2 linked regions of the Xenopus tropicalis genome follow. The protein of the gene in region 2 binds, or shares a complex with, the protein of the main gene of each other region. Links are inferred from orthologs where the notes say so. Each region holds a gene or a part of one and is shown on either strand. Other genes may lie near its edges.

Evidence for each region. Proteins that work in one complex are often made in the same cells at the same time.
Region 1: the proteins of kcnq1 (region 2) and kcne3 are in contact, whole or in part, in a cryo-EM structure (PDB 6V01), measured with the Homo sapiens proteins. The link is inferred for Xenopus tropicalis from reciprocal best matches to the Homo sapiens genes KCNQ1 and KCNE3. Residues at the interface, in NP_000209.2 of Homo sapiens: Arg116, Pro117, Thr118, Gly119, Trp120, Cys122, Phe123, His126, Phe127, Phe130, Leu134, Leu137, Ile138, Val141, Leu142, Ile145, Gln147, Tyr148, Arg181, Met238, Val241, Asp242, Gln244, Thr247, Lys362, Asn365, Ile368; in NP_005463.1 of Homo sapiens: Asp54, Asp55, Asn56, Ser57, Tyr58, Ile61, Met65, Phe68, Ala69, Val72, Gly73, Leu75, Ile76, Leu77, Tyr79, Thr80, Arg81, Ser82, Arg83, Val85, Lys87, Asp90.

What each region holds. Positions count from the first base shown.
Region 1 is NC_030678.2:176,822,613-176,826,916, forward strand, and holds the start of kcne3 (potassium voltage-gated channel subfamily E member 3), read right to left. Parts: upstream 2,863-4,304; 5' UTR 2,570-2,862; intron 1-2,569. UniProt on the Homo sapiens protein: Ancillary protein that functions as a regulatory subunit of the voltage-gated potassium (Kv) channel complex composed of pore-forming and potassium-conducting alpha subunits and of regulatory beta subunits.
Region 2 is NC_030680.2:25,069,587-25,073,198, reverse strand, and holds part of kcnq1 (potassium voltage-gated channel subfamily KQT member 1), read right to left. Parts: intron 2,735-3,612; coding exon 2,614-2,734; intron 1,862-2,613; coding exon 1,786-1,861; intron 1,338-1,785; coding exon 1,243-1,337; intron 1-1,242. UniProt on the Homo sapiens protein: Pore-forming subunit of the voltage-gated potassium (Kv) channel involved in the regulation of cardiomyocyte excitability and important in normal development and functions of myocardium, inner ear, stomach and colon.

The sequences.
Region 1 (4,304 bases), on a different chromosome or scaffold from region 2:
AGTAAGGAACCCCTTCCTATGGTGATGGTGAGATCCCCTTAACCCCATAATCTGACTGCCCTTACAGTAAGGAACCCCTTCCTATGCTGATGGTGAGATCCCCTTAACCCCATAACCTGACTGCCCTTACAGTAAGGAACCCCTTCCTATGGTGATGGTGAAATCTCCGTAACATTTCCAGTGAGTGATTCATTGGTGGTGGGGGAGAAAGGGGATCTCACCATCAGCATAGGAAGGGGCTCCTTACTGTAAGGGCAGTCAGGTTATGGAATTCCCTACCAAGAGAGGGGGAATGAGTGATACATTGGGGGTGGGGAGGAAAGGGGATCTCACCATCAGCATAGGAAGGGGAGGCAGAACTGGTTTCTTTTCCTTCCTTTTAATCAGTTTATAGAGAGGTTTGGAAGAGAGAGAATGGGCCGCTCAGGTACTAACCCAGTAATACCGATACTCTATATACAGTTCATTCAGTTCATAGCAATTCCTGATGTTTAGCAGGTGTCAGAGGAGTTATGGGGGGGGGGGGACACAGCAGTGATGCCCTAAGTACAGGGAGGTACCAATGATTGCTGTATGGGGGGGGACACAGCAGTGATGCCCTAAGTACAGGGAGGTACCAATGATTGCTGTATGGGGGGGGACACAGCAGTGATGCCCTAAGTACAGGGAGGTACCAATGATTGCTGTATGGGGGGGGCAGGAATGCAGGGGAGGGAGGGGGGTAACACATCAGTGCCCCCTCTGCCTAACAGATCTGACAGTTTAATCCCCCCAGTACCACCGGTTCCTGGTAGCCCCCGCCAGCTCTCACCCCAAGAACAAAAACAAACTCCCCGGTGTTTTTCTGTGGAATTTGGGGGGGCCCTTCCCTATTAGCCCCTATATAAATATACAGCTGAGCTGCCAGTCTGGAAATAATAAGGCAACTGCGTCCTTCGCATATTTCAATCAGCGCCGGCGGGGGGGGGGGGGCAGATTCCAAGGGTGCAATGCTTGGCAGGGAAGCTGACCTTGCTATTTCTGCCCCCCCCCCCCATGCAAGTGTTTTATCCTCCGAGAGAAATCGACCAAGAATAGAATCTGAGCGCGTAATGATTGGCCGTAATAATCCCCCGGCACGGGAATATCAACTGCCCAGGTCTCCTACTGACTGGCCCACGGGCCAACAGGTATTGTGAGCCACATCTTGTTCTGTTGGCCCAAACTGCCCCCCCGGGGTACCACACATGCCCAGACCATTGGCCAAACTGCCCCCAGGGTACCACACATGCCCAGACCATTGGCCAAACTGCCCCCCTGGGGTACCACACATGCCCAGACCATTGGCCAAACTGCCCCCAGGGTACCACACATGCCCAGACCATTGGCCAAACTGCCCCCCTGGGGTACCACACATGCCCAGACCATTGGCCAATCTGCCCCCCCAGGGTACCACACATGCCAGACCATTGGCCAAACTGCCCCCCCCGGGGTACCACACATGCCAGACCATTGGCCAATCTGCCCCCCGGGGGTACCACACATGCCCAGACCATTGGCCAAACTGCCTCCAGGGTACCACACATGCCCAGACCATTGGCCAAACTGCCTCCAGGGTACCACACATGCCAGACCATTGGCCAAATTGCCCCCCCCCCGGGGTACCACACATGCCCAGACAGTTGGCCAATCTGCCCCCCCGGGGTACCACACATGCCCAGACCATTGGCCAATCTGCCCCCCCGGGGTACCACACATGCCCAGACCATTGGCCAATCTGCCCCCCGGGGGTACCACACATGCCCAGACCACTGGCCAATCTGCCCCCCGGGGTACCACACATGCCCAGACCATTGGCCAAACTGCTTTCAGCCTGTTGCACTTAATCCTCATCTTATCTCACCCCCAGCACCAATTTGCCTTCCTGTTCTGCCTCTCCACTCTAATTACTTTCCTCTCTGGTTGTTAAGGACAACAACCCTGGCAACCAAAATCCTCTGATTGATTTTTTTAGACTGTGTGACACAGTCTAAACATTCAGAATAGAAGAGAAACCCACAAACACAGCACTTGCCTGCAGCACACTAAGAGTTAATTTAAAGGGACCTTCCCTATTTCATTGCAACTGGCATGGAAACCCCTTTAGTGGCTACAGTGCCAGGCTGGGGGGGGGCACCACCAAGGTAAATATGGCAGAATCACTAACATTATTACAAGCTGATGTCTGCAAAGTATTTCACCAGTTTGTTTCTCCTGTTTTTTATTAAATATTTATCATCATTTGACATTTTCTGTAAATGGGACAAACTTTAAAGGGGAAGTATGACATTCCTACCCAAACAGCTAATTAGTGTGAGCTACTTGCTGGGCTTGGGAGATGCAGTTGCACAACAGTATTGGGGGGCATTTGGCTTTAGTGCCAGTCTGGGGCACTCTGGCCGGTCTCTCTGATTGGCCGCAATGGGACAGTGCCCCCAGTCTGTGTTGGGGAATAGGCAATGGAACAGAGCTGACAGTCCACTCTGTATGTATATATATATATACTGGGATCACCCAAGAACTGTTAACCCTTTCTTCTCCATGCTCTTACCTCCGGGGGGGGCGCCGCGGTGCCACAGGGATGCCAGTCTCCAACCAAACTAAATTCTCCCCTGGAGGTAAAATCCTCTGTCTATTGGCTGAGCTGCAGGTCAGAACCCTGGAATTCTCTTTTCTTGTGGGTGTAAGGGGGGGGGGGGTCTCTTCAGTGGCACCTAGCTGCCAGTTTCTCAGATGCCACTCAGTGTGCGGAGCAGACTCTACCACCTGCTACTCTGTGTGTATCTGACACTGCCCCCAGCTCTGGCTTCTCCTCCTCCATTCAGTTCCTCGCCTTGCCCCTCCTTCCTCCCTGGCCCTCCTCCTTTCTCAAGTCTTCTCCCAAAATCCGGTGCCTGTAGCTTTGAAACCCTTCTGTGCCCAACATATTTACCCCCCCACACACCCATTTGCAGTGTTCCTATGCCAATGCCAGATGGTGATCAACCCCTTGCCCCTGTCTGTGGCTTTCCTGGGAGTGTAAAGGGCAAGTATCCCTCCCTGCTTGTCCCCTTGGCACTTGTATAAGTTACACAGCTGCCTCTACTTCCCACCCTCAACACCAGGGGGCAGTAGCACCTCTGCCAATCCATGCCCCAAGCACTTACCCATTATACACAGTTCCAAGCAACTTGCTTTCCTGTATATTCCATGGGGCTCATTTACTGTTGGTTACAGTATGGAGTGTTGCCCCTGGGGCACATACAGGGAGCAGTTGTACCACTAGCAGTGCCCAGGGCAAACTGTGTTCTGTAGCTGACACAAGTGCACTATAAAGATATACATACATACATACCCTGGCAGAGGGTAAGTATAGGGCTCCTTGGGCACTAAAGCCTTGTACATAGGGACATATTGGGGGGCACCCTCTTCCCACCCATACACTGGCCATGCAGTAAGTCGTGCCCTTTGCCTATATCAGAGGGGTAAGGTCGCTTGGTAACACAACTCCATGTGCACTGGGCTAAAATAGATGCAAATCTGGCATTACTTGCCCTTTAATACAGATGCTGGGGAGCTCGGAGCTGCAATTCCAGGGTTCCCCCAGCAGGTGGCGCTGACAGATGTAGCCAATTTGCACCACCGGAATCACATTAATACAATTTAACGCCACTCAATTGGCACCTTATTTGCAAACACACAGATGCGCTCATTTTGAATTATTGACCAATGATCCACCACAATGTGGGGAAACTGCTGCATTAAGGGTTAAAAAAAATGCGTATTTGTATCCAGAAATTGCGCTTTGCTCACCGCATTGCATTATTGTGTATTTATTTGCTTTAAAGCTGAACTAAAAACTGCTTCTAGAATAATGAAAAAGAATTTCAGTTTACTATTAAAACTAGTATCTGCCTGGCTGTCGATGTGCACTGCTGGTTCCGACTCCTGAAACAATGAAGACGACAGTAAAGCTGCTGAACAGCCCGTGTATTGGATTCCTCTGGAAATCTGCTGATTATAAACAGACTGTTCCTGCATTCAATGAAAATTTCTACTTTTAGCAAAATTCCCTTCCCTAAACTGTTATTCCCCCCCCCCGAATGGAGGGGCAATTAGGCCTCGCGCTCATTTCCTGCCGGGGGTGTCGGGTGTCTGCGAGTCCATTCGGATCCCACAATAATAAATGCTGTTTCACCTCCAGCACAAAGTGGAATTTCCGCTATGAAAGAGTTCTGGGGGGGTCGGTACCTTTAGCCCACTTTGTATAACAGTCAGTGCAGGGGCAGCGTGAGGGGTATTGGGGG
Region 2 (3,612 bases):
AAACCATAGTGTCACATGAAAATACTGCACATTTATAGTCCTTTTACCCTGTATGACAGTACAGGTATGGGATCCCTTATCCGGAAACCCGGTATCCAGAAAGCTCCGAATTACGGAATGCCCGTCTCCCATAGACTCCATTTTAATCAAATAATTCAGAATATTAAAACTGATTTCCCTTTTCTCTGTAATAATAAAACAGTACCTGTACTTGATCCCAACTAAGATATAATTACCCCTTATTGGGGCAGAACAGCCCTATTGGGTTTATTTCATGGTTAAATGATTCCCTTTTCTCTGTAATAATAAAACAGTACCTGTACTTGATCCCAACTAAGATATAATTACCCCTTATTGGGGGCAGAACAGTCCTATTGGGTTTATTTCATGGTTAAATGATTCCCTTTTCTCTGTAATAATAAAACAGTACCTGTACTTGATCCCAACTAAGATATAATTACCCCTTATTGGGGGCAGAACAGCCCTATTGGGTTTATTTCATGGTTAAATGATTCCCTTTTCTCTGTAATAATAAAACAGTACCTGTACTTGATCCCAACTAAGATATAATTACCCCTTATTGGGGGCAGAACAGCACTATTGGGTTTATTTAATGGTTAAATGATTCCCTTTTCTCTGTAATAATAAAACAGTACCTGTAATTGACCCCAACTAAGATATAAATAATCCTTATTGGAGGCAAAACAATCCTATTGGGTTTAATTAATGTTTTATTGATTCTTTAGTAGACTTAAGGTATGAAGATCCAAATTACAGAAAGACCCCTTATCCGGAATACCCTTGGTCCTGAGCATTCTGGATAATGGGTCCTATACCTGTATTATAATCAGCCACAGAAGTGAATACAAATGGAGCAGAGTTCTGCGAAAGCTGCACTGGTGTGTAAGTTCTACTGTGCCTCAGTTACATGAGATAGGAAAGGTAATTCGCTTGGAACACTTGCCTTGGCTGAATTTAGGGAGACAATTGCTGGCAATCCTGGTCCCAACATGTGCCAATATAAGAACTGGTCTTGTTTTACCCTAAATTTTTATGAGTCTCTACATCCAGTGAGTGTCTGTAGACTGCTCTCACCATTAAAGACTTCATGGCTCCTTTGCACTTATTTGCACTTGGGACTTTACACTTAACGTTTAGGATGACAGCGCTGTTTAATGTAGCCGGGGGGGGGAGGAACTGAGAAACATGAAAAAATCCAAAAGATGGATTCTGGTTTAGAACCTTCTCTGAAGTTCCTTGATTCTGACCATCAAGTTAAGGTGACCTTGTGAATACTGCTCAATAACATCACGCACGTCGTAGGGTTTTCTCGCTTGCTGCAAAAAAACAAAAGGGATTTCATAAGATTACGGTCTTCATCAATACTCTGATAAAATTAAATGCAATTATGGGTGATTCTGCAGCAGTTTATAGAAACCTTTCTAGGGTTGGGACACCCTAGCTCAGAAACACTGAAGTGAACATAGAAGTATAGGCCTGTCACTGGCCATAAGTGCCATAGGCGAAGTTGTGATAAAGGCTGTTTTGACCAGAGGTGGTGGGACTAGGTATCTGCCTCCATTTAAACAGATCAACACACATTTGTGAGCACAGTAGAGAATATTGTGTCTGTGCTTAGGTGCAGCCCAATGTGACATCAAGGTAAAGTTTGTCCCATCTGTATTTATAGTACTTACAAACCAGTGAAAGTGCAACTGGGAGCCCATAACTCATCTAACATAATCACCTCTTGAACATAACACTATAAGTTTTGACCCAACACACCTGGAATTTTTTCTTTGCAACAAAGTACTGCATTCGTCGGATGACTTTTATTGCGGCACGATGATGTTCTTTTAGCCTGTGAAAAAGAATAGGGTTTTTAAAGCATATATTGTGTGTTTCCTTTCGTAGACCTCTGTACCTTCATTTTTTACTTCTATATTATTTCCCTGTGGATATTGAGAAGAACAACCCTTTAGGCTTTATCATAACCTGTACAAAGATAGTTACATCGTTACAAAGGGTTGAAAAAAAGACCATCAAGAGTCCATCAATTTCAACCCTTGCAAGTAAACCTACCAATAACTTACCAATCTATACTATAAGATGCCCCCTTCAAGTCAAATGTGCAATAGTATATTCTGTTATGGATAATGGGCACTATTATTAGCCTGCCATAACCCACATTGGAGGTCTTAGGTTATGTGCAGGTTTGCCTTCCTATGTATTAAGCATTGTAAATGGTAGCAATCATTGGTAATGCCTCATGTGCAAAACTAGAGGTGTGTACATAAAAGCAAATAATTCATCCTAAGCATACAAATACAACATGGTTAAGGGACATGGCTGGATAGAGGGCCGGATATTAAGAATCTGATTATGTGGGAAAAGGGAAAGATAAGGGGGGTGCCTGGAGACAAATTTTGAATATTAGTTGAATAATAGTTATACCACCAGTTAATACAATAAGTAAAAGAATCTGCAACTGATATCCATTTTTTATTTGCCCAGTATATTTCACCCTTAAAACATAACCCGCAGCAGCTCCATGCACTAAAGTTTCTCAAATACGTGTTCCTGTATTTTGTACAAAATGAATGCAGTACTTACTCTGAGATGTGAGTAATTGGGGTGAGGAGAGTGTCCCCTTCCATGTCCAGGTCATCTGTGAAACTGCTTGTTCTGATAAAAGGTCCAGTGCCGGGGTCTAAGAATCCAAAGGGTTTTCTTACTGTAGAATTTCAAAAATATACGGCGGTTATACCTCAAAATATAGGATTGTACCCTCAAATTTTCTTTGTGCGTCACTGCAGGGTTCCCCACCAGTTATTTAGCTGTAAGCCCCACTCCTATTGTCCATCCAAAATGCTATTCCAAGTGGGGCTTATAGTGGCAACAAGCCAAACAAATCAGCCCAGACTTCCCTTGCCAATGTTGCCACCAGGCTCAGAATTAGGCATAGGCAGCAAAGGCACATGCCTAGGGTGCAACTGTAGGGGGGGCAAACCTCAACTGCCCCTAACTCTGGCCATTCACATCCAGAGGTGGAGGTGGACCAGCAAGAAGTCAATGTATTGCAGTGGGGTTGGTGGTGAGTGGAGGTGGAAGGTGGCAAGTAGGAGGTCAGGGGATTGCTTAGGGCACCCTGTTGGCCCCTCTCTGGTTGCCACAACTTTATCCAAAACAAAGTGCTTTTAAGATTGATGTTTTTCCTCATAATACAACAAGCTGAGTTCTGAATTCAACACAAGAATGAAAAATGTACCAGGGGTATCAAATGAGGACTATCATTAGCTATTTGGTAGCCCCTATGTGATCTGGAAGCCTACACAAGGCTCTGTTTGGCAACCAAAACCTGACTCCAAGCCAAGCCATACAAGAGGGTTGGTAAGCAAGCCCCTAATAAAGCACTGGTTGGGGCCTAGAGCATTGGGTACCTGCTGTACACCTTCATTCCACAACCCTCTTTTGTTTTATTGTATGTTGGTAGGTCTGAAGAACACTCCAACCTGTGGCAGGTTGCCCCCAGCCAATCAGGGATGTGCTTGATGTGAAATAGTCAAGTCAGTGTTTTGTTTCTGGTTGGGTCCATGGGAACACTGATCCTGG